Linked DNA regions of Arabidopsis thaliana. The protein of the gene in region 4 purifies or fractionates together with the protein of the main gene of each other region. This does not show direct contact. Each region holds a gene or a part of one and is shown on either strand. Other genes may lie near its edges.

Region 1 (7,946 bases), on a different chromosome or scaffold from region 4:
GATGACCCAGGTAAACTATAAGAGCAAAACCACCTATCATCCAGAAAGTGGAGTATGCTCGAATGAGAAACGATTTGTATTTTTTGCTGTCATTGACAAGTAAATGGTTTCCATTTGGTTTGCCTGCCCCTGCACCAACCTAAAAAGCCAGAAATTTGATTGAATTTACAACCAAAATGAAGCAAATAAGTAGCTTATGTACTCTTAGAATAGCTTCTACATCACATAAGTAGAAAAGGACCAAATAAATCCTTATACAACAAAAGCAACTTAACTAAGCCAAAAACAATGTGAATTCCGATTTAATTTGACAGCTAAAATATTGAATAATGGCAAACATACATCGCTGTTTCGCTTCCGATGCCGAACACGAGTGGTTGGTGCTGATGGAGCATCACCAGCAATTTCCTTCTGCATGTTGGAAGAGTTCGAAACAAAAACACTGACTACCTGTGAAAATTTAAAATTGAACTTGAGTACATCTAGCATCACCTTAGTCTAACGTCAGAATACAAAAAAAAGATAGAAAGACTCTGGCAACTAAAAATCATTGATAAGCCAAAAAAAAAGTCGAGTAAATTTAGAATCAATTTGCAAATATAAGTAGAAAACTCATCTGAATCAATCAATGACATGTACTTATATCAATAACATGTACTCCAAACTCTCTCACCAATAAATGCTTTTATTAAAACACGGAAACAAAATCACCAGCATTCTAAACAATTTGAAGCTTGTACTCTCATAGGTAGTTGAGCAACCCAAACAAAAAACCATCCAATTGATTCATTGAAACTCTTTAATAACACTCAATATACAACAATTCAAACTTGAACTTGATAAATTCCCCATAAGTAAACGCTCTCAGTAGGATTTTTCACTCAAAATTTTATTGAATCTAAAGCAATGAACATAAGTGATTCACAGAGAAATACAATTAAACAGGAAAAATGGGACAAATACGAGTAAAATCGGGAATAAAACCCAAATTTAAGCAGCCGAAATACTTATGGAAATACTGGAAATCTTCACTAATGGTGTCAGTAATCACACGAGCTAAGGAGAATAACAAAGAGGAACCAATACTAGTTTCTCGTGGAGATCTGAGGATTGAGGAGACGAAACACATATCTAAACAAAACTATGTACATATGATTCAGGAATGAGGTAAATAAGGAAGAGACGTGAAACCTGCTTTCGTGAGCTCAGTTTCTACTGTGCCAGAGCGAGAGAGAATGAGAAGACGAGGAAGAAGATGGAGCAGAGAAATCGAGTTGAAGAAAACTAAGTAGAAGACGAAAATGATTCTCCTTATTTCTCGAATCTTTTAACTTTTGATTCTAGAAGCCACAATTAATAAAGGGATATAATATTTTAATTAAAGGTAAAGGTCCTCCTCTATATTAACTTGAAATGACAATTAAAAATTCGAGAATATTATGAACTCTTTTCTACAAAGTTGCAAATTGTTACCTTGTTATGTTCAATGCTCATAATCTTCCAGAATTGGTTAATGAAAACAAAAAAAGAATCAATTCTTTTTTTGGACGATGGAATAGAATAGAATCGCCAAAAGTAGAGATAGTGAATTAGATTCTATTCCTCTTTCATTGTTACAAATAAATTCGAAAAACAGCCACTTCTATATTAAGGGAACTCACATGTGTTTTTTACTACAAAATTTCAAAAGTTTGAGAATTTGAAGAGGTCGCTTTCTTTCAATATGCGTTTTTAGTTTTTACCAAAAGCTCTTCCCAAAACTCATATATGTGTTTTTTTACCAAAGGTTTTTCACTATGATACAACAGGCTCTCTATCCTTTAAAGGGGTCCAAAAATCTTTTTCCAAAAGAGTTGTGAAACAAATCTCTAATCTCATTCCAAGATAAAACTGGTCACTTTTACTCTTAAACCAAATGAAGTCAGTTTCTTTCCAGGGCTCTATTCTTCCTGCTGCTCATATATCTGCATGTATGCTTCCGATAGTTCTACCATCTGGGGAAGTGTCTCTGCAACATGAAGATCCTGCATCTCGTACCTGCAATGGACATTATCCCCCAAATGAATTTATATCTTTCTTATGCACAGATCTAGATCATGCATTTGTGAACATGAAACACAATAATAGTTAATGATTGAGAAAGCTTACCATAGTTCTTGTGACTTGCGCTGCACAAAGACTCTGAAGTACCCGTCCTCAGGCTTACCATCATGTACAATGTTAGCGATTAGATTATACTTTGAACACACATTCTCCCCTTCTGGTGCTCTAGGCAATGATGGTATGTAATCCCTCAGCTCCATGTCCTTCACTGGGAAGTTAACTGTGGCATAGAAAAAGAAATTGTATCAAATTAACCAGGTATTAGGGGATCCTTATACAGCATTAACGTCACAAAAATTTCAAACAGACTCACCCAATGTAGGGTTCTTCTCTTTGAAGAAGTTATTCTTCTTGAACCGAACCATATGGAACATCAAGTAACGAGGAGATTTGATTACACGGTATCTCATTCTGGCCAGCTTAGGCCGAACCACCTCTGTCACCGTTTCTCCATCAAACTTCTTCAATAAATCGAATAGAGCAACCTGACCCAAAAATCAAAGAAATTAGATTCCACTAACCTCACTTTGCAAACTAAACACTCTAAGACGCATATACGAGGTAGCAAGCCATAAAGGCTACAGGAGCTCCAAACAACCAATGAGTCAGAGAATTCTACACTTTCGCAAGTCATGAACTAGATTCGAAAAAGAAAGTTTACTCCAGGACATTAAATTGGCAATGGCACTATTTAAGAATCCCTTAATTGTATCTCAACCAAATGTGACATTATTTATGTAGCTGTATATTGAGAATCATAAGTTTTCTAGCACTCCACGTTATCATTTTTCTGAAATGCATTTTTTTAATGGCACAAAGTAGCAAGACTTTCAAGATTTGAAATAGCCATATACCTGCGGAATAATGTTTTTCTCCATGACATCTTTGAAAAGAGGAGGCGGTGGCAAATCTAGCCCAAGCATCAGAAACGGCATCCTGGAGATTTCTTTGTTTTCATTGCCTTGATACTCTTTCACAACCTCCAACTCACCCTGTAATGGTTAACAGGTTACATGAGATACAGCTTTTTTGTAAGAAATTATATCAAACTGCATTATGTTGACATTTCAAAGGACGGACACATACCTGGAAGCACTTGTGGATGATACTGCTAGCGTCCTTTGAAGTTCTAAGATCCATGTGCAAAGTGTTGAGGAGCCACGACATAAACTCTACTGGATCTGATTGTTGGCCAATCCTAAAGCGTTTCTTGCTGGCTTTCATGACAGCTTGCAAGAACTCATGTGGACTCACCTGTTGATGCAAGGTAACTTAAATTAGCGAGGTCCTCAATAGGTGAGTGCATAACAAAAACTAAAAAAGTGAGAGGCATAAATTGAGTCAGACTTGTCCTTTAAAGTTTCGAGCATGCCAAATCTTGCGAGTTAGTTCCCCAAAACGGTGACCAAGAGGAGACTTGCAGTGCTGATAATTTTCAGGAATGAGGAAGAAATTCCTTAGAGGAGTAACTCTCATCAACGACTGGATTGTAACATTCACAAACTCTGTCTTTTGTATGTTGTTCAACCCCACCTACATATTTACAAGCTTAACCTTTAGGAGACATTAATTTCAAGATCAAGTGTAATCAAAGAGAAAGGATTACCATTCCTGGAAGATAGTCGGAGCCATCAAGAGCCCTAGACCACTGCCTATTCTTGTCAAGCTCGTTTACTTGTGCTCTACTAAACCTGTAAATGGATAGCACCGAAGCCTTCATACAAAGGAACTGAAAAATCAAAGAAAAATTGACAAAACATGAAAGAAGAGTAATATGTTCAAGCTATCATGCAAAAAAATATAAATAGATGGTAGATGATACAGAGAACTAGTAAGAAGAAACTGATTGAGATAATAGTCAAAGCAATTTTGTTGTTGTTAACTACGTGCAAAGGCTCACATGTTCACAAATCAATACCCAAAATGCAGTAAGAACTATGATGTAGTTAGTCACAAGATCTAATATACCTTGGGTTTAAAACATGGCGAATGTCATCCAAAGAAGGGTCATTGATCTCGTAACTATCAGGAAGACAATAAACCTTCTCTGTCAGAAGATTGATGTAAACGTGGTGTCCTGCTTCCAAGCTATGTGTATAAGCATGAGACTTCTGGCTTCTTCCTTGAAAGTACTTCCCACAAACAAGACACGCATACACATTCAGATTTGACAATGAGACAGAGCAAAACCTCTCGAAATCAAAATCCAACACCTGAAATCAACCATAAGATATGAGTTTAAACGCTAATCTCAAACCAGCAATATAATGAACCTAGCAGAAGCTTAAAGATCCACCATAGATTAGATACATTACAAGTACCAAACACAAGAAATTGGTCAATGATATACCTGACGATTAACAGTATCAAGATAAGGACAATCACGACGAACTTCAACATGGCGTGAATGCTTTCCTCTCCCCTTCGAAGCATCATCATCATCATCTTCGTCGTCATCGACCTCTACTTGAGCTTCTCCTTTCACTTTGTTACCATTTCCCTCTCCTTTCGCAACTACATTACAACGAGTTTGCGATTTATTCTGCTGGTTATTATCATCATCGTAAGCATTAGCAAACGGCAAAAGAGGATTGTTGAAACCTAGTGGTGGAGGTGGCGAATCAGACCGTTCCATCACTCTCTTCCTCTTCACCTCTCTCTCTTCCTCAGAAACACCATTCTTCACTTCTCTTTCACCTTTCATTCTCAAAATTTTCCCTAAGCTAAAGCTTGCTTCAAAAACCTTAGAACACAAAATCCCAGCGATTCACGAAGAATCCTCAACCAAAGAAGCAATGAACTCTTCCAAAAAACGCCAAATACTTCAAATCAGAAGCGTCGACAGTCGCGAATCTACTCGAACTTATCTCTCGTTCCCAATTTTCTCGAGAAACTTCAAAATCCGCCACAACGCAGACGTTAAACAAACAACCTATTAAAGCTTCAAGAGCCGACTCAAGTCTCACCCAGATTGATTAACTCGGTTAAAAGGCCGAATATTTATTATTGGGCCACACTGTTATAGCCCAATAACAATCTGTTCCATTTATATTACTTCTGTCAGCAGTATTCAGTAATTGATCTGTATTCACGATCCGATACTTATCGAATAACCATTAATACCCTCAAGCTTCTCGAAGCAAACTATAAACGCGTGAAAATCTACAAGGACGTATTCGACATTCCACGAGTAAAGAGATGAGTTCTGAAGTTAAAGCCAGCTGGCGAAGAAGTAAAAAAGCAAATAGATTAGCCAAAATACGACAACACCCTCTACCTACAAGCCATAGATACCATGACTCATAAGGGCAACACCGACATTTGTCATCATTTGATAAATCTAACCAACCCTGAAGGGCATATTCGTCTTTCCAAATAGTTATAAAGAGACAGAGACGAAGAAGGAGAGAGAGAAAGAGACAAGATTAGAGAAGAGGATAAGAGAGAGAAAGATATAGAGAATTTGTTGTCTTTTTTTCTTTTTCTTTTGTGGGGTATTTGTTTTTTTTTTTCTCCTTAAAAAGTTTTTTTTTTTGTGTGTATGAAAAAAAAAGCTTTGAAATTCTCTCTCGACAATGGTGTCGGACCAGGATCTAGCGAAAGGAGTCGAGACTTTGCTTCGACAATCCGACCCTAGCTCTCTCACATCGTTAAGCAGTATTGTTCAGCAGCTTGAAGCTAAGTTAGGGTTAGACCTCACGGAGAAGACGACTTTCATCAGAGATCAGATCAATATCCTCCTCCGTGCTCACCAAAACCCTTCTGCCTCCGTCGCCTCCGCTTCATCCGTACAACAATCTCACCCTCCTCCTCCGCCGTCTTCTCACCAGCAGCAGAATTTGCATTCCGGCGTCAATGTTCCTCCGATGGCGAAAGGGCATTTCACACTTAGCCATCCTTCGCAATTCTCTGTTTCTTCTCAATCACAACAATATCCTTCACATTTCGCTCTTCAGCCTCCTTATCACTCTTATGACCTAAATTTCCGGCAGCCTTATCCGGTTTACATGCCGCCGCAACAGCACCAGCATCAGCAGCAGTCTCCGCGACAACAACAATCCTCTGTGATGCTCTCACATGGCGGGAATGCTTCTCTATCTGTTAATCAAGCCCCAAAAGAAAGGTAGGGTTTGCAACATATTTCAAATGTTGGTACGTAATTTTGCTCAAGGTTGTTCCAATTTCAGTAATTTAGGGCTTTTGCTACTTTCATGGAAAACATGATTTTCCATTTTAGGAATGTCTAAATCTTTTGTCAATTTTGTTCATTTACGGGTTTTTAGGTTTTACATGCTCATGTTTAGAATTATCATCCTGTGATATTTTTAGCACATTGATTCATACAACGTTCTATTATAGTGTGATTATTTCTTTCTGATCTACCTAAATTTGGCACATCAACGAAATTTGTCAACTTTTCCTTTGCAGTGCTCCGGCTGGAACTAAAAGAAAGGGTGGTCCTGGAGGACTAAACAAAGTCTGTAGGGTTTCTCCAGAACTTGAAGTAGTTGTTGGTGAACCTGCTCTTCCTAGAACTGAGGTTATCATTGTCTTTCATTTATGATTATAATGTGTATAAGCAATTGTGGTTGTTATTTATGTGTTGCTGTGTTTGGCTTTTGGTTTTAGATTGTGAGGCAATTGTGGGCTTATATAAGGAAGAATAACCTTCAAGACCCGAGTAACAAGCGGAAGATCATCTGTGATGATGCGTTGCGTGTGGTTTTTGAGACTGATTGCACTGACATGTTCAAGATGAATAAGTTGCTTGCTAAGCATATTCTCCCGCTTGATCCATCAAGTAATGGTTAAACACAAGCGTTTTTTGCTGAGTTCCAACTGTGCTTGGTTTGTTCAAGGTTACTGACTGTTTGAGTCACTTTTGGCAGAGGACTCTGGTCAAGCAAAAAAGGCAAAAACTGAGGTGGAGACTAAGACTGAGACCACCGAGCCTATTAGTTCAACTGCTATTAGTTCAACTGTTACATTATCTGAGCCACTTGGTAAGTTCTTTGGCACTGGTGAGACGGAGATGGCAGACGAAGAGATTATTCGCCGTGTTTGGGAATACATAAAACTCAACAATTTAGAGGTAATGATTTTAATCTTGAAATCCTCTGGTTTCTCCTTATTGCTTCGAATTTTTTTCCTGTTTGCTGCTAACTAAAGCTGGTATTGTGGTTTACTCTATAAGATAATTTACAGTATAGGATTTCACATAACTTTATGTTATAGAGCATAGTGAATGGCCATAAACAAGAAAATTAAGATTTGTTTATTCTGCTTTTCAATTTTCTTTCAGGACCCAGTAAATCCAATGGCTATTCAGTGTGATGAAAAGCTCCGAGATCTTCTTGGATGTGAAAGCATTTCAGCTGTGGGGATAAATGAGATGCTGAGGCGCCATATGTACAAGCAGTCGTGATATCTTCTGGTCTGACTTAATTAACTAGGAACTACTAGTGTAAGTGAAGTTTGATTTAACAGATTATGATACTTATATATCAGCATTGTCCAAATATGGTAATTGACTTCTGTATCACAACTCTCTTGCAGGTGTGTATCTAGGGAACCTACTTATGACTCCTTGCTGTAGAACTCTGATAGGGAAGAAAAGATCCTTTTCACTTTTAACTTCCTTTAATGCTATTTTAATCTTCCGTTGGGTTCTTTGTTTTAGTTGGTTGTGTATCGACATGCTTAGGTTGATGTTGTATTTAGTATTGTACCGAAACTCTAGTGTTAAGGGTGAAACGGCGCAGATGTTTTGTATTAAACGCCATTCACCCATGAATGTCTTAGGAAAAAAAAACTCATGTGTTTAACTATGTTTTCCCTGTTGG
Region 2 (6,989 bases), on a different chromosome or scaffold from region 4:
CCAGAAAGGTAATCCTGTAATTGTTCCTTTCATTAGCCGTTTCTGGGGAAGAACTTTTTCTACTAAGAGATCGAGTATGAATTTAGAAGAAGAAATTGATTTGTTCTGTAAAATGATTCAATCTCGTCCTCTTCCTTCAATAGTTGATTTCAGTAAAGTATTGAGTAAAATCGCCAAATCGAAGAATTACGATCTTGTGATCTCTCTGTTTCACCATATGGAAGTTTGTGGAATTGGTCATGATCTTTATAGTTACAACATTGTGATTAATTGTTTATGTCGATGCTCTCGATTTGTTATTGCTTTATCTGTTGTTGGGAAGATGATGAAGTTTGGTTACGAGCCTGATGTTGTCACGGTTAGTTCTTTGATTAATGGATTTTGTCAAGGGAATAGAGTTTTTGATGCTATAGATTTGGTTAGTAAAATGGAGGAAATGGGATTTAGACCAGATGTTGTTATCTACAACACGATCATCGACGGTTCTTGTAAGATCGGGTTGGTGAATGACGCGGTGGAGCTGTTTGATCGGATGGAAAGAGATGGGGTTAGAGCTGATGCTGTTACTTATAACTCTCTTGTGGCCGGTCTTTGTTGTTCTGGTAGATGGAGTGATGCAGCTCGGCTAATGAGAGATATGGTAATGAGGGATATTGTTCCTAATGTCATTACTTTCACTGCGGTGATCGATGTGTTTGTGAAAGAAGGGAAGTTTTCGGAGGCGATGAAGTTGTACGAGGAGATGACACGAAGGTGTGTAGATCCGGATGTTTTCACTTACAATTCGTTGATCAACGGTCTTTGTATGCACGGTCGGGTAGATGAGGCCAAACAAATGCTTGATTTGATGGTAACTAAGGGTTGTCTCCCCGATGTAGTGACTTATAATACTCTCATTAACGGGTTTTGCAAGTCTAAGAGGGTTGATGAAGGAACGAAACTCTTCCGCGAGATGGCTCAAAGAGGATTAGTTGGTGACACTATCACATACAACACTATAATCCAGGGCTATTTTCAAGCGGGTAGACCAGATGCGGCGCAAGAAATTTTCAGTCGGATGGATTCTCGTCCCAATATTAGGACGTACAGCATTTTGTTGTATGGGCTTTGTATGAACTGGAGGGTAGAGAAAGCATTGGTGTTATTCGAGAATATGCAAAAGAGTGAAATAGAACTTGATATTACTACTTATAATATCGTCATTCACGGGATGTGCAAGATTGGTAATGTTGAAGATGCGTGGGACTTGTTTCGTAGCCTTTCTTGCAAAGGACTTAAGCCTGATGTTGTGTCCTACACTACGATGATCTCAGGCTTTTGTAGGAAACGCCAATGGGATAAATCAGATTTGTTGTACAGAAAAATGCAAGAAGATGGGCTTCTTCCATTATAACATATGAAAACTGTATATTATTTGTAAGTAAAAAACAAATTCTTTATTTTGTATTCATCACCATTTGTAATTTTGTATTATTACAAAAGAAATACAAGTAAGCTGGAGTTTAATGTAAAGTCTTTGAAACCAGAAATAAAAGAGGCAAGAAAAGGGAGATAAAGACAAGTTTTCAAAACATTGCTCTCCATGAATACCACTTGAGTTTAAACTGAAACAAGAGTGGAGGAACACCAAGAACTCCTCTTTGAATCCTGGGATCAAACACATCGAATTGTACTTTATTTAACGAATCCAGAAGAACTTGTACCGGCACAGAATGAAGCAGTACCGGTTTAGCTTCTGCAGGAACCTTTCCCGCCAGTTCACGGGCTTTCAGGAGATGTGCATTGGCAACAGATGCAATCTCAAACACGACATTGCTTAGTCCTTCTCTTGAATCGTTATCCAGAAGAATTTCTAATCGTCCACCTTGTTTCACGAGCAACCCGTGCTTCTCAGCGAGATCTGCAGGGATGTAACTCTGGTGACGGTTTCTGGTACAGTGGTACGGTAATGATTTAAGCAGCAAGACAAGACCACTGGCTTTACCAATGTGTGAAGCTGCATGATCAGCTGTTGTTGAACTAATTCCGCCTGCTTGGAGTGTATTGTACAGAAGAGTGGAAACTGTGTCTTCTGCGTATTTCTCTAGCTCCGCAATGCTCTCTGGTATATCGTCTACTTCTCTTTGGGCATCTCGGATTCTAGCGTCAACTGAGCGTTTTAGCCAAGGTTTACTGATGTTATGTTCTGATATTGCCCAAGACAGAGCTTGTGCAGCTGGATGGTTTATGGGCTTTTTGGTGTAGAGTTTGTCAATTGCTTCTTGCCACCAAAGTAACCGCATCAAGCCGATTTTGGGATCAGATGCAACATCCATGGCTCTTGCGGTTTCTACATTAAAAGCCCGGAGAGCAAATGCTGCTTTACGCATCTCAGTTGGGAGTTCAAGGAGACAGAGGTAGTGATGATAGTCATAGTTTCGTACTTGCTGCACACAATAGGACAATGCTGAACGCAAACTACTCGAGCCTCCTCCATTCATCAGTATAACTCCAACTGTGTTTCTTTCTCTTATCCTACAACCATATAAACCACAAACAAGATCAGTTCATAAAAACAATGAAAAACTCTGGTTTCTTCTATCACTCCATTATAAAACAGTAACACAGAATTCATCTACAAACACAAGAGAAAATCCTCCAATTATCACCACTTCAAATAAATATACTGAATAATTCTCACTAATCCAGAGGTTTTGTGAACCGTTAAACTCATTCAGGAATTAACACAAACACTTGGTGGACAAAGCACTGGAATTGGTATTTAACAAACAAAATGAGAACTTTTCAACATTGCTTAACACACAATCATAAACCCAATAATCACACATGGATAACAAATGAGATCACTAAAGTTCACAGAAACTTTCCAATTAGTAATGTAAAATCGCTGGAAACCATTAATGTCGTCCAACAATAACGAAACGAGCAAAAAACACCTTACCCTAACTCGAAAAACTCTGAGATTCAAGTTTCCTATGTTTAGGAACTGAATCTACCATCCAAAATCCAAATAAAATCAACCTTTCGACCCGAAAATGGAAATCGAACTCTGAACAATCGTGCCGGAGAAGAAGCGTTGGGTCAATGTAGAGAAATACGTCGTCGATTAATATAAAACCACTAATGTTATTACACGACGTCGGTTCTGCTACAGTGTAACAGGAAGTCGGTTTTGTTATAAAATGACACGACGACGTTTTTATGTAAAGAACTGTTTAATGAATAAACGTGATTAGGATAGTATTAACCCGAAACCAAACACTCTTATATCGAACAAATATATATACACTCGTATTTATTCGCCTAAAGCCAAAAACCCATTAGCCCCTCAAGGTATCTTCCAGAAGCAACGAGAAGACCTGCAAGAGAAAATTTTCAGATTCAACTATGGCGGACGAAGCAAAAGCTAAAGGAAACGCAGCTTTCTCCTCCGGTGACTTCAATTCCGCCGTTAATCACTTCACCGACGCAATCAACCTAACACCAACCAATCACGTTCTCTTCTCAAACCGTTCCGCTGCTCACGCATCGCTTAATCACTACGACGAAGCTCTCTCAGACGCGAAGAAGACTGTTGAACTTAAACCAGATTGGGGAAAAGGTTATAGCCGTCTCGGTGCTGCTCACTTAGGTCTAAATCAGTTCGATGAAGCCGTGGAGGCGTATTCGAAAGGGCTTGAGATTGATCCAAGTAACGAAGGTTTGAAATCAGGTTTAGCTGATGCGAAAGCTTCTGCGTCTAGGTCACGCGCTTCCGCGCCCAATCCGTTTGGTGATGCTTTTCAGGGACCGGAGATGTGGTCGAAATTGACGGCGGATCCTTCTACTAGAGGGTTATTGAAACAGCCTGATTTTGTTAATATGATGAAGGAGATTCAGAGGAACCCTAGTAATCTTAATCTTTATTTGCAAGATCAGAGAGTTATGCAAGCTCTTGGAGTTTTGTTGAATATTCAAATCAGGACTCAACAGGCTGGTGATGATATGGAGATTGGTGAGGAAGAGATGGCTGTGCCTTCTAGGAAGGAGCCTGAGGTAGAGAAGAAACGAAAACCTGAGCCTGAGCCTGAGCCTGAGCCGGAGTTTGGAGAAGAGAAGCAGAAGAAGCTTAAAGCTCAGAAGGAGAAAGAGTTGGGGAATGCTGCGTATAAGAAGAAGGACTTCGAAACTGCAATCCAGCATTACTCTACAGCTATGGAGATTGATGATGAAGATATCTCTTATATCACTAATCGTGCTGCTGTTCATCTAGAGATGGGAAAGGTATAGTTTTCAAAGTGTTCTTTTTTTTTTGTGTGCTAGTCTAAAGTGATTTGCTTTGGTTAGGTTATGAGTCTTAATGTCTATGTGTTTTGTTTTAGTATGATGAGTGTATCAAGGATTGTGATAAGGCTGTTGAAAGGGGTAGAGAGCTTAGGTCTGATTACAAGATGGTGGCTAAAGCTTTGACTAGGAAAGGAACTGCTTTAGGGAAGATGGCTAAAGTCTCGAAAGACTATGAACCTGTGATTCAGACTTACCAGAAAGCTCTTACGGAGCATCGTAACCCTGAAACATTGAAGAGACTGAATGAGGCAGAGAGAGCAAAGAAAGAGTTGGAGCAGCAAGAGTACTATGATCCTAATATCGGTGATGAGGAGCGTGAGAAAGGTATATACTTTGCAATTGTATGTGCTGTTTGTGCGAGGAAGAATCTCTTAGAATTCAGTAAATGTAGCTGAACTAACATCTTTGTAACACAGGTAATGACTTTTTTAAGGAGCAAAAGTATCCTGATGCTGTGAGACATTACACTGAAGCGATCAAGAGGAATCCAAAAGACCCGAGAGTAAGGCGGATTCATCATCATATATCCTTCAATGTTGTGCTCAAAAAGAGTTCCGTATTTGACTGTTTTAATAACTTGTTTACTTTTTTGCTCGTCACATAGGCATATAGCAACCGGGCTGCATGTTACACTAAACTGGGGGCAATGCCCGAAGGATTAAAAGATGCAGAGAAATGTATCGAGCTCGATCCAACATTCTTAAAGGGATACAGTAGAAAAGGTGCAGTCCAGTTCTTCATGAAGGAGTATGACAATGCAATGGAAACGTACCAGAAGGGTCTCGAACATGATCCTAATAACCAGGAACTTCTTGATGGTGTTAAAAGGTATTTATATAAATAGGTGTTAAGTCACGGGGAGATTATTCGCTTCTGTTATCTAGTAATGTCAATATGCTTATGTAACATGTTTTAAACCATGCAGATGTGTACAACAGATAAACAAGGCAAACCGTGGCGACCTTACTCCTGAGGAATTGAAAGAAAGACAGGTTAGATTCTATTACTGCTTTGAAACTGCTTTGTTACGGGTTTAAGAGAAACCTGTGATCTTAAACTAAAACTTTTGGGATTTGCTTTCGTCCTTATTGCAGGCTAAGGGAATGCAAGACCCAGAAATTCAGAACATTCTCACAGATCCTGTAATGAGACAGGTAAAGAACACACTTCTATAGATGATGTTAGAATTCACAAATCTCTCTATGTTTAGATCAAACATCTCGGAGCAATCCTGGAAACTGAAATTGAGCTATCTCCATGTTGATATGTCTCACCAAAATCTAACACTTGTTCTTTGGACAGGTACTGTCTGATCTCCAGGAGAATCCAGCAGCAGCACAAAAGCACATGCAGAACCCAATGATCATGAACAAAATCCAAAAGCTTATCAGCTCAGGAATCGTCCAGATGAAATAAACGAAGCCAAGACATTGATTTCGATTTTGCTGAGTCATTACTCTTTTATAACTCCAAACACTAAGATCGAATTCTTCTCATTTTTCAGACTTTTCTGATATATCAATTTTTCTTTCTTTCTCATATCCATGCGTTTTAAGACAATAACAACCTTGTCTTCACAAATTTGATTAGCTTACATGTCTATATAGACCAAACAAAATCACAATAAGTTTTTATGTCTAGGCAAAACAAAATCTGTTTAAGCAGCAACTTCTTGATCCTTGGATGAAAGTTGGTTCTGAATATGTTGAGGAACAACGTCGAACTTAGCCAGTTGCATTGTGTAAGAAGCTCGACCTTTTGTCATCCCTCTCAATGTACTCACGTACTGAAACATCTCTGCCAATGGAACCAGAGAGTCGACCACCTAACAATAATAAGAACAACAATGTCAAAATCAGATTTCATCATCTAACAATTTAGGGGTTTTTTCGATCATTTTGAATAAAACATACCTTGAGACCACCGGGTTTGTCTCCGAAGCTGTTAATTTGACCTCTTCGTGAGTTAAGATCACCAATGACATCACCAAGATGTTCTTCTGGTGTAACAACTTCAACTCTCATGATAGGTTCAAGCATTCTCGGACCCGCTTTCCTCATCCCTTCACGGAAAGCTCCTCTTGCAGCAAGCTGGAAAGCTAGCACGCTTGAGTCTACGTCATGGTAAGATCCGTCAACTAGACAAGCACGGACATCAACAACCGGGAAACCAGCAAGCACACCGGTGCTCATACACTCCTCAAGTCCTTTCATGACACCAGGAATATACTCTCTTGGCACAGCTCCTCCTTTGATCTCACTCTTGAATTCGTATCCTGACCCTGCTTCCAATGGCTCAAACCGGACTGTAATATCAGCAAACTGACCTTGTCCACCTGATTGCTTCTTGTGTGTGTATTTCACTTCAGCTATTTTGGAGATACTCTCACGGTAGTTGACTTGCGGTGCACCAACGTTAGCCTCCACCTGAAAGATGAAAAGGAATTAGAAGCTTGGAAGCTTGAAGTAGAGAATTAGATTTATAGGTTATGTTTTACCTTGAACTCTCTTTTAAGTCTGTCAACGATAATCTCGAGATGAAGTTCTCCCATTCCTTCAATGACGGTTTGGTTCATCTCTTCATCACGAGAAAAATGGAAAGACGGGTCTTCTTGAGCGAGCTTGATCAACCCTGTCGCCATTTTGTCGATGTCTGCTTTTGTT
Region 3 (6,988 bases), on a different chromosome or scaffold from region 4:
CATTGGTATCCTTGTCCGAGCATGTTTGTTGTTGGAGGAAGCTATCAATAAAGAACAAGTTAAAATGCATGATGTGGTTCGGGAGATGGCTCTATGGATTGCATCTGATCTTGGGGAACATAAAGAAAGATGTATTGTGCAAGTCGGTGTTGGATTACGTGAGGTACCGAAAGTCAAGAACTGGAGTTCTGTGAGAAGGATGTCGCTGATGGAAAATGAGATTGAAATTTTATCTGGCAGTCCCGAATGCCTGGAACTTACAACTCTGTTCCTTCAGAAAAATGATTCATTGCTACATATCTCGGATGAATTCTTCCGGTGTATCCCAATGCTAGTTGTTTTGGATCTATCAGGGAATTCAAGTCTCCGGAAATTGCCTAACCAAATATCAAAGTTAGTCTCCTTGCGTTATCTTGACTTGTCGTGGACATACATTAAGCGGCTACCTGTCGGTCTACAAGAGTTGAAAAAGCTCAGATATTTGAGATTGGATTACATGAAGAGACTTAAGAGTATTTCAGGGATATCAAATATATCAAGTTTGAGGAAATTGCAACTTTTACAGTCTAAAATGTCGCTAGACATGAGCTTAGTGGAGGAGTTGCAGCTATTAGAACATTTAGAAGTTCTAAACATAAGTATCAAGTCAAGCTTGGTAGTGGAGAAGTTGTTAAATGCTCCCAGGTTGGTGAAATGTCTTCAAATCTTAGTACTTAGAGGAGTTCAGGAAGAATCATCCGGAGTATTGACTTTGCCAGATATGGATAATCTCAATAAAGTCATCATAAGGAAGTGTGGAATGTGTGAGATAAAGATAGAGAGGAAAACTTTATCATTATCATCGAACAGAAGTCCCAAAACTCAATTCCTCCATAACCTCTCCACTGTGCATATAAGTAGCTGTGATGGTCTGAAGGATTTGACGTGGTTGTTGTTCGCTCCTAACCTCACTAGTCTCGAGGTTCTGGACTCGGAACTAGTAGAAGGAATAATAAACCAAGAGAAAGCTATGACTATGAGTGGTATCATTCCTTTCCAGAAACTAGAGAGTCTACGCCTACACAATCTAGCGATGTTGAGGAGCATCTACTGGCAACCTCTGTCTTTTCCATGTCTGAAGACAATTCACATAACGAAGTGTCCTGAGCTGAGAAAGCTTCCATTGGATTCTGAAATTGCCATAAGGGATGAAGAACTTGTCATTAAGTACCAAGAGGAAGAATGGCTTGAAAGGGTTGAATGGGACAACGAAGCCACAAGACTCCGTTTCTTACCTTTTTTCAAGTTCTTTGGACCTGAATGGCAAGTTAGTTATGTGCGGTAGCAATTTGTAGAGCTGAAGCAATGAAATGATTCAAATTTTGTGAATGACAAAGTCGTTGTGTATTTAGCCATTTGCTCTCTTATGCTCCAAATGGTATAGAGATGTAAAGCAACATAACTTTAAGGATCGCAGTAAATGTTATATCAGAAGAAAATATGATTGCAATTTGTTCGGAACACAACGTCAGTAAACATGGGAAATCAGCCGGTCACAAATCTAGAATTGTTGCAGATTGCAAAGATATAAGAGAAAAAATGAATCTGCCAAAACGGATATTCGATGTTTCAACTCTTCTGAGTTTATTTCATCTGGACGATCCCAGCGCTAATAAGCTTTTGAATCTTGTTCATAACCATTGGATTTTGCATGTGCTTCTGTGCTGCGCTTGGATTCTCTTGAAGATCAGACAGTACCTGTTTGGAAGAAAGGTTTTAGAATGTTAAGAGGTATTATCACATGCAAACTCGAACCAACACGTAAAAACATAGTTAGATCTATCTAGACATCTCACAACAGAGTAACATTGGTAATAAGAAACTCGATTCAAACAAAAATTGCATCATACTCATACAATCACAATTTACGACAGAGTTTGTTTATTTACCTGTCTCATTACAGGATCTGTGAGGATGTTCTGGATTTCTGGGTCTTGCATTCCCTTTGCCTACACAAAAGAAAAGGAGAAATCCAAGTTAGCTTCCCGGGTTTTCTTTCAATCACAAATGGGGGGAGAAAACATGAGAATCATCAGAATGTAACTAACCTGTCTCTCTTTCAATTCCTCAGGAGTAAGGTCTCCGCGATTAGCCTTGTTGATTTGTTGTACACATCTGCAGAATAGATTTGAACCACATTAAACAAATTCATGGCAATAGATAGAAAAGTTAATAATCTCTGTGTATCTGTGTATATACCTTTTAACACCGTCAAGAAGTTCCTGATTACTAGGATCATGCTCGAGACCCGCTTGGTATGTTTCCATCGCATTGTCGTACTCTTTGAGGAAGAATTGGACTGCAGCTTTTCTGCTGTATCCTTTAGAGAAGGTTGGATCGAGCTCAATACACTTTTCTGCATCCTTTAGTCCTTCAGGCATTGCACCTAGCTTAGTGTAACTAGCAGCTCGGTTGCTATATGCCTAACATAGGTGCAAAAAAAGTACGAGTTGCTCAAACAGTCGGAATAGAAAATCATTGTAGAAGACCTTAAGAACATATAAATATGATGAAGTGCCCTTACTTTATGGTCATTTGGGTTCCTTTTGATTGCTTCGGTGTAATGTTTTATGGCCTCAGGATACTTCTGCTCCTTGAAGAAATCGTTACCTGTATTAAATACACCACAACAGCAGCAGTAAAAACGCTAATTCATTCTTGTTTTCAGGGTTCTATAAGCTTTCTTTTCCCACACACACACACACACACACACACAAAAAAAAAAAAAGAGACTAATTGCTAAAGCAATCACCTTTTTCACGCTCTTCATCCCCTAGCTTAGGATCGAAATATTGCTTCTGTTCCCACTCTTTCTTTGCTCTTTCCGCATCGTTAAGTCTCTTCAACGTATCAGGGTTACGGTGCTCTGTAAGAGCCTTCTGGAAAGCTTCAATGGCAGGTTCATAGTCTTTCGAGCATTTGGCCATCTTAGTCAAAGCAGTCCCTTTTCTAGTCAAAGCTCTAGCTACCATCTTGTAATCTGACCTAAGCTCTCTACCCCTTTCCACAGCCTTGTTACAATCCTCAATGCACTCATTGTACTGAATCAAAACACAATGACATTAAAAACTAATCACCATTGTAGCACATAACAAGCAAATCATCATTCTAGGCTTCTAGCCTATCAGCAAATAAAGGGACAAAACAAAAGAGCATTACACATATGAAAATCATACCTTTCCCATCTCAAGATAAACAGCAGCACGATTTGTGAGGTACGAGATGTCTTCATCATCAATCTCAATAGCAGTAGAATAATGCTGAATAGCAGTTTCAAAGTCCTTCTTTTTATACGCAGCATTCCCAAGCTCTTTCTCCTTTTTAGCTTTCTCCTTCCTCTCTTTCTTCTCCTTCTCCTCTGTCACCTCCGGTTCCGGTTCAGGCTCCGGTTCTCTCTTCTTCTCAACCTCAGGCTCATTACTAGAACTCTGACCCATATCAGACTCAGGAACCTCAGCCTCATCTCCCTGAGGCGGCGGTGGCCTAAACTTAACATTCAATAAAACTCCAAGAGATTGCATCACTCTCTGATCCTTCAAATACAAATTAAGACTGCTAGGATTCTTCTGAATCTCCTGCATCATGTTAACAAAATCCGGCTGCTGCAAAAAGCCTCTAGTCGAAGGATCAGACGTAAGCTTCGTCCACATCTCCGGTCCTTGAAAAGCATCACCAAACGGATTCGGTGCAGCTCGTGACCTAGCAACAGACGCCTCCGCATCAGCCAATCCAGATTTCAACGCCTCGTTAGTCGGATCGACATCTAAACCTTTCTTATAAGCAGTGACGGCTAACTCAAACTGGTTTAACCCTAAATGAGCAGCACCGAGACGGCTATAACCTTTAGGCCAATACGGTTTGAGTTTAATCGTCTCTTTCGCATCGGAGAGAGCTTCGGCGTATTGATGAAGCGACGCGTGAGCAGCGGAACGGTTTGAGAAGAGGACGTGATTGGTTGGAGCAAGAGCTATGGCTTCGGTGAAGTGGTTTATAGCCGTGGTGAAGTCACCGGAAGAGAAAGCAGCGTTTCCTTTAGCTTTAGCTTCTTCTGCCATTGTTTGAATCTGAGATTTTTGCAAGTCTCTGCAGCTTCTTGGGAGACTACTCTCTATAAGAAAAGAACACTTGTTTGGGGTTTTGAGAAATTGAGGGACTGTTTGGATATGAGGATAGAATTTGTTAGTGGATATTTGTCCGGGTTTATAATTATCCTCGTTACGTTTAATAATAAAGAATCTTATAAAACGATGTCGTTTTGTGTTGTCGTGGAAATCCCGGTTATCAGCAGACCCACGATTTATTCACCGGTTCCATTGTTTAGAGTTTCATTTCTCCGGTTCGATTTTGTTTTTGTATTCACTTGTTCTTCAGTTCATTTAAGAAATAGTGAAAGCTCCTGAACTGATCTCACTTCTAAGTGAGAACTGTTGCTTGAGATTGAATTTGTTTTCATCACCCATTTCTTGTTACCAGTCTCATAGCATTTTTCATCATTATGATACATTTCTTACTTGTGATTTTCTTTGCTAAGGAGACATGCATGTTTTTAGTAATATGGAATCATAGTTACAAGCACCTGGATTAAAGAAGACAAGAAAATCTTGAGGTCAAGTTTTCTTTAGCTAAATACGTTCGGTGAAGTTTGTCTACGAGTATAGAGTTTTGTTATCGTACTTTTGTTTACTTTTGTTTACTTTTGTCTACAAGTTTTCTTACTTTTGTTTTGGGGTTGTGTGTGGACTGTTTGGATACGAGTATAAAATTATATTGTATCTTAAGAATAAAATTACTAAGAAACGGTGTCGGTTTTGTACTGTCGTGGAGACTCCGGTTATTGGTAGACCAACGATTTCTTCTCCGGTTCGATTTTTCTTTTTGTTACTTGTTCGTCAATTTCGTTCAAGAAATAGTGAAAGCTATTGAGTTGTGTATTTCACATGTAAGCTCTTGAGATTGAAATAAACTGCATCGACCATTCCTGTTACCAGGCTCATATATAGCATTTTAAATAAAATCAAAATCAAAATCGAAACTGCAAAATCAAAATCATGGCTTATTTAATTTATTTTCAATACACTTAATTAAAAGAAAAAAATGTCGGTGTATATAGACACATCATGCTTAGATCTAGAGAGTTATTTTCATTATCTTTTGTTACCCTCTTTATTTTAATATGAGTCTTTTTAAATTTTTGTTCATTAATTTCTTTATCTTATGATTACTACTATAATTTCGTATTATTGTTCCGAAGAAGACATATAAACCAAAATGCAATCATATCTCCCATTTCCATTTACATCTTACATTCTCTAAAGCATATATAAACGAAAATATAATAAATGTAACTTGTAATAATTTGACACACGGCTTGAGCTGGCCAACTATGAAATCATGAGGGTCGTCGTCGATGTGCATATTTGTTTCTGCAAAATGGCTGACTTTTACACTCATACATACTCATACAGTCAACTCAAAATAGAATTCAGTCTTTCTTGAAATATCATCTATAGGTTGACAATTAAACCAGTTTGTCCAAAAAAAAAAGGTTGACAATAAAATCATATATATAAAGTTTATAAACCATATGCATGCTTGCTGTTGAATTTGACCCCAAAAAAACCCATATATATGCTGATTGATGTTCCAAAAAATTGTTCCTATGAATTAAAAAAACAATTCCGTTCAAAAAAATTTAAATTTCAGATATCTACTTGTCACTGGGTTTACTGTTTATCTCTTGAATTGGGTAATAAATTTATAATCCAAACTGTTTAAAGGTCATTATTAGTTGAGTTTGTTGAGTTAGTATTCGTCGATTTGAAATCTTCCAGTAATTTTTCGTATTCAATGATTCATATCGCATGAAATAATTAGTCGTTTGGTGCATGGTATAGTGATTAAAGCCATGCATTTAGACTATTGTTACGTATAATTATTAATGATAATTAGCTTACTAATTATTATGGATTTAAGAAAAAAGTAATTATTAGAATTTTATGTGCGCTTATTTATTGAATAATATAGATAGTGGTGGCCCTAAATATTATTTACTGGGGCAGAGTACACTTCAAACATAATTTTTTTTGGTAAATTATTTACAAAGTCAACTACAACTATTACCTCAAAAAATTTGTAATACCAAATATATGATTTTTTAAAATTAATTTTTTATTTTATTTGAAACAAAGTCTTTAAAATAATTAACATGACCTTCATAACAAAAAAATAAAAAAAATAATTAATATATTTCACAATAATCAGCATTTTTTGTTTACATGCAACATTTTTTGTCTCGCATATATATATGCATCATTTAAAACTACATAGAACTTATTTTCGGAGATTGGATATCTAGTAACTTACTAGTAGTAAGTAGTAACACATAATACAAATAACCATTATTGATAAATATAAATGTCACAATGGTGTTACTTAGTCCGGGCTCGTTTTGGCAATTGGCATGGAAATGACGCCATGAGATTCTATGGATCGATCCATCCAGATTTTGATCTTGTTTTATAAACATTCATATTTGATCTGATCATTTCAGTTTTGTGGCCATTCAGAAAGCAACTTCAGGCATATCTATAACAACAAAACAAAAAAAAGCGACGGGGTGTAAATGTGTAATGGATTTGGTCTAACCAGACTCAAATCTAAGAAAATTGGTCATATATGAATCGGTACTGAATCATCTGAAGTTGAGTATTTTTCTCAAAAAACTAAAAAGTTCGGCGCTATGTAACCCTAAAACTAACGAGCCGATTTGAAACACTGGCTGTACGTTGGCTAGCTGTACATCATCACTAGTGGTAAGATCAAACCAAACAATAAGTAAGATGGTAGAATCTTTCACATGGAAGTGTTTTCACATGTAACAAGTTTTTCTCATGGGACAAGAAACTGACAAAAGGAACAAACTTCCCACGTGGTTTAATTCATAGGGAAT
Region 4 (7,809 bases):
GTTGATAAACCCACCGGCGACTCCTAACTCGTCATCGATTTCGTCTGCTTCAAGCGAGGCTCTAAATGAAGAGAAACCGAAAACAGAAGACAATGAAGAAGAAGGAGGTGAAGATCAACAAGAGAAGAGTCATACTAAGAAACAGTGAGTTCTTAAAATTTCTCACTTTTTTTTTTGTTGAGTCCAGAAGCTGTTCGATAAAAAGTCTCAGAGACAAAAAAAAAAAGAAGTATCCTAAAGAAAGCATTTTTAATGAACAGGTTGAAAGCAAAGAAGAATAATCAGAAGAGACAGAGAGAGGCAAGAGTCGCATTCATGACAAAGAGTGAAGTTGATCATCTCGAAGATGGTTATCGCTGGCGAAAATATGGTCAAAAAGCTGTCAAAAACAGTCCTTTTCCCAGGTATCAGCAAATATATCCATATCCTTTGACCATAGTTTTACAACAACAAGAAGAAAAATCAAATCTTTTTCCTTGTTGTTTTGTTTCTTCTTTTTTGATTTGCTCTTGGGTACATGCACTATGTTAATTTGTTGGATCTAGCACTGTCCCATTGTTTCTTAATGTTTGGGTGTTAGTGTTTACTAATTAAATTTACTACTGTTTACAGTGTCCAAAGAAAGACTTAATTGTGAACCAAAGTTGATTTTGTGTAAATGGTGTTTCGTTTGCAGGAGTTACTACCGTTGCACAACGGCTTCATGTAACGTGAAGAAGAGAGTGGAGAGATCATTCAGAGATCCAAGCACTGTGGTTACAACCTACGAAGGTCAACACACTCACATTAGTCCACTCACGTCTCGTCCTATTTCCACTGGAGGTTTCTTCGGATCGTCAGGAGCTGCTTCGAGTCTCGGTAATGGTTGCTTTGGGTTTCCTATTGATGGCTCCACGTTAATCTCTCCTCAGTTCCAACAGCTTGTCCAATACCATCACCAACAGCAGCAACAAGAACTCATGTCTTGTTTTGGAGGAGTCAACGAGTACCTTAATAGCCACGCTAATGAGTATGGTGATGATAATCGTGTGAAGAAGAGTCGAGTTTTGGTTAAAGATAATGGACTTCTGCAAGATGTTGTTCCGTCTCATATGTTGAAGGAAGAGTAGTAGTATATATATAGTCTTATAGTTTTAATCTAGTTTTTTTTTGTATAATTGTCTAAAAGAAACGGATCTTTTGTTCTGATGAAGAAGATGTTTTCTTATGGTTCTGAAATCGTAAGGTAATGATGATTGTACCAAGCCGAGAAAGTACTTGTGATTTTCACCATTGAATCACTATAAATGTAATTTTTATTTACTGTGAACTTATATTATAAATGTGTGAACTTATAATTTATAACACAAAAATGCACCAGATTCTTAAAAAAAATATGTGGACTAGTAAACATGATTTTGTAAATATTAGGATTGGCAAAAACTTCTTAATCGCATAATAATAATTTGTCGTTTTGTAAATTACTGATCGTAGGCGATTTACAACAATGGTCGTCTTTTAAAATTTGTTATGGGCTTTGCATGAACACTATGTCAAAGCTAGGCTTTGTAGTTCGTGTTTTTTTTTTTAATTGAAAACTTATTTGATCTATGATTCTAATATAGTAGCCTTCTAGGGTTTCAGGTTAATCAATCTCTCTCTAGTCAAATACACAGTCAGTTAATTGTTTTTTGTTTGTTTCGCTTCGATATATGTCTTGGAATCTGGAAAAATTAACTAGTTTCATAGTAATCAACAAGATTAATTAAGCGAGATAACTAAAGAGGAAATTAATGCGAAACTGGAAGCATAAACCCAACTACTTCTACCTACTCTTCTCTATGTTTCTATCGACCCTTCATGATTTCTCTTATTTATTTTTAAAACTTTATTTACCCCTTTTGTTCTTGTTGCTGTTTCATGATTACACTGCGGTGAAGAATAAAGACGTATGCACTGTGTTATTGTTGTTAGCTATTTTCAATTATTTAAAAAAAAAAATTCAAAACAAAGGAGAAAAATTTGTCACTCTCTTCACTAATTTTAGTCTTCTTTTAAAAAGGGTTTGGTTAAAATGGTTGTGAAACAGAGCAAATACCAATCATAGCTTTGTGTCATCCCCAAAGGGCATAGACTTGTGGCCTTGTGAGAATAAAGTAGAGAAACAAGTTACCATGCAAATAAACTTTTTTTGTTTCCTTTTTCTTTTTGTTACTTTTGTAGCCATGTGTGTGTGAGAAAATGTTCTACATAACAGAACAAGGAAGGAAAAACAATCTTATGAGGTAATATCACTTTTTTGTCTTTTTGTCTAGTGAGTGCATAGCAACGCCATTGGCTTTAGTATGTTTGTATTGACCTTTACGGTGAGTGATAATCCCTAACCGAAGAAGGTACATAATCATTGTCCCAAACAAAGCCACGAATGCAACCGAAAGCAAACGTACCAAAACTCTCGATGGCTTAAAAGTAAATGACTAAAAGACAAACTTAAGAGACCCATTGTATCAAAGAAAACAACTAACAATTTTGCTCATCATGTCTCCAAGTTTATTCCACTTTCAATATACATTTGTTAGATCCAAAAGACTCTCAAGCCGTAACAATATCATTGAAGAAATACTTATTTTACCTTAGCAGTTTTGAATCAAAACGACAATAGCTACTAAAGAAGAAGAAGTCAATGAAGGTATTCAAACCCTGATGTCAAACTCAACCTTGGGGTAGTAAATTTCGAATTAAGTGACGATCAAATTCGCAGTCTCAAATGCTTTCTATGCACTTCGTATTGCAAATGCAATGCTTAAGGATACCCTTAATTCTATTTGCGTCAGTCCACTTTTTTTTTTTTGTTGTATTTTGTTTAAGTGGTGTAAGTGTTTTTTTCTCTTTCTATTGTACCATATCCATCCTTGTCAAAGTAAGAGGAGGCTGGAGAGGTTCTTTGTGATCAATAATCAAAATGCTAGTGTTTTTACTTTTTAACAAACAAAAAAAGAATGAGAGAGTCAGAAAAATATATTCAGAGAAACATGGGCTTTACATACATAGGTCGGCCCACAAGGGAACTTAACGGGCCTTGGTGCCTAAAACAAATATCAAAAGAGACAAAAGGGGTTAACCTGAAAAGTCCTCGCGCCGCTGCTTATCGTTGAGCCTAAAATCTATCTGTCTCTCGTTTTGTTCGTTCGTAATGGGTACAGAGAGAAAACGGAAGGTTAGTTTGTTCGATGTTATGGAAGATCCTTCTCTTTCGTCGAAGAACACCAAATCCAATGGTCTCGGACTTGCGGCGGCGGCTGGTGGTGGAAGCAATCTGATCAACAAATGGAACGGAAAGGCTTATTCTCAGAGGTATTTCGAGATTCTGGAGAAGAGGAGAGATCTTCCCGTTTGGCTCCAGAAAGATGACTTTCTCAATACTTTGAACTCTAATCAAACTCTCATACTCGTCGGTGAAACTGGTAGTGGTAAAACTACACAGGTAGCTCAAGCTTTCAATTTCGATTTTGGAATTAGTGTTTAGTGTGATCCAACATAACATTTCATTGTATTCTACAGATTCCACAGTTTGTATTAGATGCTGTGGTGGCTGACAACTCCGATAAGGGAAGGAAATGGTTGGTTGGATGTACCCAGCCTCGTAGAGTTGCTGCAATGTCTGTGTCTCGTCGTGTTGCTGATGAAATGGATGTCTCCATTGGTGAAGAAGTTGGTTACAGTATTCGTTTTGAGGATTGTACTAGCTCTCGTACTATGCTTAAGTGAGTGTTTTTGTTCTTCTTTCTTTGGCTTCTCAGCTTTATAACGTTTCTGTTCTGATCATAACCTTTCTCTCCTGTTATTACAGGTATTTGACTGATGGTATGCTTTTGAGAGAGGCAATGGCGGATCCGCTTTTAGAGAGATACAAAGTTATTATTCTCGATGAAGCTCATGAAAGGACTCTAGCCACGGATGTGCTCTTTGGTCTTCTCAAAGAGGTCTTGAGGAATAGGCCTGATCTTAAGCTAGTTGTCATGAGTGCAACTTTAGAAGCTGAAAAGTTTCAGGAATATTTTAGCGGTGCTCCTCTTATGAAAGTCCCTGGTAGGCTTCATCCTGTTGAGATCTTCTATACACAGGAACCTGAGAGGGATTATCTCGAGGCTGCTATAAGGACTGTTGTTCAGATACACATGTGCGAGCCACCTGGAGATATTCTTGTTTTCTTAACTGGAGAGGAGGAAATAGAAGATGCTTGCCGTAAAATCAATAAAGAGGTCAGCAATCTTGGAGATCAAGTGGGTCCTGTCAAAGTTGTGCCTTTGTATTCTACTCTTCCACCTGCGATGCAGCAGAAGATTTTCGACCCTGCTCCAGTGCCGTTAACAGAAGGTGGTCCTGCTGGACGAAAGATTGTTGTCTCAACCAACATTGCTGAAACCTCTCTAACCATTGATGGGATTGTTTATGTTATTGACCCTGGTTTTGCTAAGCAGAAAGTCTACAACCCACGGATTCGAGTTGAGTCATTGTTGGTGTCCCCAATATCAAAGGCAAGTGCTCACCAGAGATCAGGTCGTGCTGGTAGAACTCGCCCTGGAAAATGTTTTAGGCTCTACACAGAGAAGAGTTTCAACAATGACCTGCAGCCACAGACATATCCTGAGATATTGAGATCAAACCTTGCAAATACAGTCCTGACATTGAAAAAACTTGGCATTGATGACTTGGTGCACTTTGATTTCATGGATCCTCCTGCTCCTGAGACACTGATGCGGGCATTAGAGGTTCTGAATTATTTGGGAGCACTTGATGATGAAGGTAACTTGACAAAGACGGGTGAAATAATGAGTGAATTTCCCTTGGATCCACAAATGTCAAAGATGCTCATAGTCAGTCCTGAATTCAACTGTTCCAATGAGATTCTCTCGGTTTCTGCAATGTTATCAGGTACATCTTCTACTCGTAAGTATGGTTTGTCTTCTCCAAAGTTCATTATAGATGTCGGTTTACTTGAGCGTACTATGTTTCACTTCACTTGAATTTACGGAAATAAGTCTGTGTGTATGTGAACGCATCTATAAGTATGTCATACACATGAACATCTACTGCATCCCATGTGTCTTCTTAAAATTCACTAGTGTCTGTGTTTGCCATTCAATTTTAATCTTAGAGTTAGGTTGTCATAAGCAGCTCACTAGTCACTAGTTTGGGGTCTCCATGTCCATGGTTGGGGAGTTCTAAGTAAAACCTGATGCATCTAGTTGCAGTTTCTCAGTATTCTCACAAGCAAATGGTATCGTCTCTCGCCTCTATGCATCTGCTGACCTCTTCCATGGGCATATTCTGTTATAAAAACAATTCTTTCTCTAGTACCGAATTGCTTTGTCCGGCCTAGAGAGGCTCAAAAAGCAGCAGATGAAGCTAAAGCTAGGTTTGGACACATTGATGGAGATCACCTGACGTTGCTAAACGTGTACCACGCCTACAAGCAAAACAGTGAGTTATTTTTTCTCTATCTGCAACTTTTCTCTTATAGCTGCTTAAGACAAATGAATTTACCTCACCAACCCTGCTCACTTGAAATTCTCATAGATGAAGACCCAAACTGGTGTTTCGAGAACTTTGTCAACAACAGAGCAATGAAATCTGCAGACAATGTCAGACAGCAGCTAGTGCGGATAATGTCGAGGTTTAATCTGAAGATGTGCAGCACGGATTTCAACAGCCGCGACTACTATGTCAACATAAGAAAGGCCATGCTTGCTGGTTATTTTATGCAGGTGGCTCACCTAGAACGCACTGGCCATTACTTGACCGTCAAAGATAACCAAGTATGTCTTGTTTTTTGCATTCTGTTACAGATTTTGATTTCCCGATTATAAAGAGATCCTTATAGCTTACATCTGACGGGTTGCCTGTAAATTCTGGTGGCAGGTGGTTCACTTGCATCCATCTAATTGCCTGGATCACAAACCAGAGTGGGTGATTTACAATGAATATGTCTTGACTACTCGGAATTTCATACGCACTGTTACAGATATCCGCGGTGAATGGTTAGTTTCCATCTCTGGTTCCTGTTATCTCTTGTTTATCAACATCCGATGGATTAAAAACCGAATATCTTTGCTTGTATATAGGTTAGTCGATGTTGCTCAGCATTACTATGATCTTTCCAACTTCCCCAACTGTGAAGCAAAACGAGCCCTCGAGAAGCTTTACAAGAAGAGAGAGCGGGAAAAGAACGAGAGCAAGAACCGGAAGTGAAGAAAATCACTCTCTTTGCTTCGACTAGAGGATCAAATCACTCAGAGAAGAATGTCTTAGTCACAAGACCACTATGATTTACCCTCGTCTTAAATTATGATGGATACTTTGCTTTGTTTATGTTCAATGAAAGAATCTTGCATTACTCAAAGTGTGTTCTTTTAAAACCTCTGTTTGGCAACTCTATATAACAATGTTTCTGATAATCTCAAGTATGAGCTTCAGTCCAGCTGATAGCGTCTTGCTCTTCGCTCTGGTCCTCGTGATCAATCTCCTCAACTAAATAACACTAATTGACCAGCCCTTCCTAAAGAGATCCACCATACATGAATAATCCTCCTTTTCTGCAGCCATCCCAAACCCACCCACCCATCAGGCCATCAACATGAATTGCTTTTCCCCTTCAAATATAGTCAGTTTTTAATTGACCCATTGCAGTTTGGTAACCATCAAATTAATTTAAATTAAATTGTTGATTTTTATGCACCTATCATAGAACTAGTTCAAATTTCCGGAAATAGAAATATAAACAAGCATATCGCCATCAAGTTTTATAATGAGTGAATGATGATCTTTTTCTTGTCTCAACTGATACAAACTTTAACTTTGTTACCACTAGAGAAATATCATCAAGGATTACACATCATATGCTTTCACCTGAAAGAGGTCTTTGTCCTACAAAGTTCACTCCTTCCTCTGCCCTCATTAGTGCCAGATCATCAATAAGAATAGAATTCATCATGCTACCTCGTGAATTCTGTGGTAAACAGACTTGCATTTGTATTTTATCAAACAAAAAAGGTTCCCAAAAAAAACAGATCTGCAGTAATTTTCTCAACCATCTGAATGCTAACACTAGTAGTCAAAGCAAATTCAAACTTCAATATGAGCTTGAAAACACACAATCTCAGATTTTCCTAATAACCAACTAAGTAATTAAGTTCACCAGGCCAAAGGCCATAACCAGTTTCCCATTTGGTATCACAGAGAATCCTTCATACAATCTGTCACAAAGTCTTGAGGTAACCTAATATACTAAACGCATACGAATCACTCTCCAGCTCGTAGCGCTGAGCCGATCAAGAGAACTTCTTCGTATACTTCCTTGTACGTTTTCCACATATACGGTCCAACCTAAACCGATCCATACAAATATAGAAATAAAACAATATGTACAGAGAGTTTTAATCAGTAACCAGAACATACATCATATAGATTTGTATTAAAGTTGTTGTTGTTGTCACCAATTTGATAGAATGCATATTGTTGGAAACGAAGTTATGTATACAAATTTATTTTGACCAGAATGTTCTCTCTATTTTTAGTATGAAGCATTCAAGAAATTCACCTTCTCATCCACAATTTGACGCCATCCAAGCATCTTGTTATCAGGAAATTTTTCCACAGATTTACTAACAAAACCCAAAAGATATTAATTAACAATCAAAGAGATATCATATAAGAAAATTAAACCTGATTATTAACAATATATACCTGAAAATGTCCCAAGTAGTGATGATATCAGAATCTCGAGGAGGAAAACCTTTCTCCGACAAAAGATTCCGGTACACCGGACCT

Evidence for each region.
Region 1: the proteins of AT2G47250 (region 4) and AT4G22350 fractionate together in Arabidopsis thaliana (co-fractionation; one large-scale study listed by BioGRID). This does not show direct contact.
Region 2: the proteins of AT2G47250 (region 4) and Hop2 fractionate together in Arabidopsis thaliana (co-fractionation; one large-scale study listed by BioGRID). This does not show direct contact.
Region 3: the proteins of AT2G47250 (region 4) and Hop1 fractionate together in Arabidopsis thaliana (co-fractionation; one large-scale study listed by BioGRID). This does not show direct contact.

What each region holds. Positions count from the first base shown.
Region 1 is NC_003075.7:11,802,133-11,810,078, forward strand, and holds AT4G22350 (Ubiquitin C-terminal hydrolases superfamily protein), read right to left. Parts: upstream 5,286-7,946; 5' UTR 4,808-5,285; coding exon 4,454-4,807; intron 4,317-4,453; coding exon 4,072-4,316; intron 3,795-4,071; coding exon 3,710-3,794; intron 3,637-3,709; coding exon 3,451-3,636; intron 3,358-3,450; coding exon 3,190-3,357; intron 3,096-3,189; coding exon 2,958-3,095; coding exon of another isoform or gene 2,934-2,957; exon of another isoform or gene 2,589-2,933; coding exon 2,417-2,588; intron 2,324-2,416; coding exon 2,149-2,323; exon of another isoform or gene 2,038-2,148; coding exon 1,941-2,037; 3' UTR 1,699-1,940; downstream 1-1,698. Other genes in the region: CDS2 (cytidinediphosphate diacylglycerol synthase 2), read right to left, coding at 1-139, 343-489; AT4G22360 (SWIB complex BAF60b domain-containing protein), read left to right, coding at 5,679-6,226, 6,532-6,643, 6,733-6,904, 6,993-7,195, 7,406-7,528.
Region 2 is NC_003070.9:23,227,639-23,234,627, forward strand, and holds Hop2 (stress-inducible protein), read left to right. Parts: upstream 1-3,283; 5' UTR 3,284-3,387; coding exon 3,388-4,263; intron 4,264-4,361; coding exon 4,362-4,650; intron 4,651-4,742; coding exon 4,743-4,828; intron 4,829-4,930; coding exon 4,931-5,154; intron 5,155-5,251; coding exon 5,252-5,318; intron 5,319-5,420; coding exon 5,421-5,480; intron 5,481-5,628; coding exon 5,629-5,742; 3' UTR 5,743-5,905; downstream 5,906-6,989. Other genes in the region: NG1 (Pentatricopeptide repeat (PPR-like) superfamily protein), read left to right, coding at 1-1,393; AT1G62730 (Terpenoid synthases superfamily protein), read right to left, coding at 1,566-2,480; SCO1 (Translation elongation factor EFG/EF2 protein), read right to left, coding at 5,984-6,151, 6,240-6,752, 6,824-6,989. UniProt on the Arabidopsis thaliana protein: Mediates the association of the molecular chaperones HSP70 and HSP90. Mediates nuclear encoded chloroplast preproteins binding to HSP90 prior to chloroplastic sorting.
Region 3 is NC_003070.9:4,169,211-4,176,198, reverse strand, and holds Hop1 (stress-inducible protein), read right to left. Parts: upstream 4,165-6,988; 5' UTR 4,095-4,164; coding exon 3,216-4,094; intron 3,081-3,215; coding exon 2,792-3,080; intron 2,650-2,791; coding exon 2,564-2,649; intron 2,463-2,563; coding exon 2,239-2,462; intron 2,155-2,238; coding exon 2,088-2,154; intron 1,989-2,087; coding exon 1,929-1,988; intron 1,738-1,928; coding exon 1,624-1,737; 3' UTR 1,469-1,623; downstream 1-1,468. Other genes in the region: SUMM2 (LRR and NB-ARC domains-containing disease resistance protein), read left to right, coding at 1-1,324. UniProt on the Arabidopsis thaliana protein: Mediates the association of the molecular chaperones HSP70 and HSP90. Mediates nuclear encoded chloroplast preproteins binding to HSP90 prior to chloroplastic sorting.
Region 4 is NC_003071.7:19,398,345-19,406,153, reverse strand, and holds AT2G47250 (RNA helicase family protein), read left to right. Parts: upstream 1-3,109; 5' UTR 3,110-3,172; coding exon 3,173-3,463; intron 3,464-3,540; coding exon 3,541-3,743; intron 3,744-3,829; coding exon 3,830-4,914; intron 4,915-5,337; coding exon 5,338-5,463; intron 5,464-5,559; coding exon 5,560-5,798; intron 5,799-5,901; coding exon 5,902-6,020; intron 6,021-6,104; coding exon 6,105-6,231; 3' UTR 6,232-6,506; downstream 6,507-7,809. Other genes in the region: WRKY23 (WRKY DNA-binding protein 23), read left to right, coding at 1-144, 261-404, 677-1,109; AT2G47245 (long chain acyl-CoA synthetase), read right to left, coding at 7,282-7,365, 7,580-7,643, 7,726-7,809. UniProt on the Arabidopsis thaliana protein: May be involved in pre-mRNA splicing.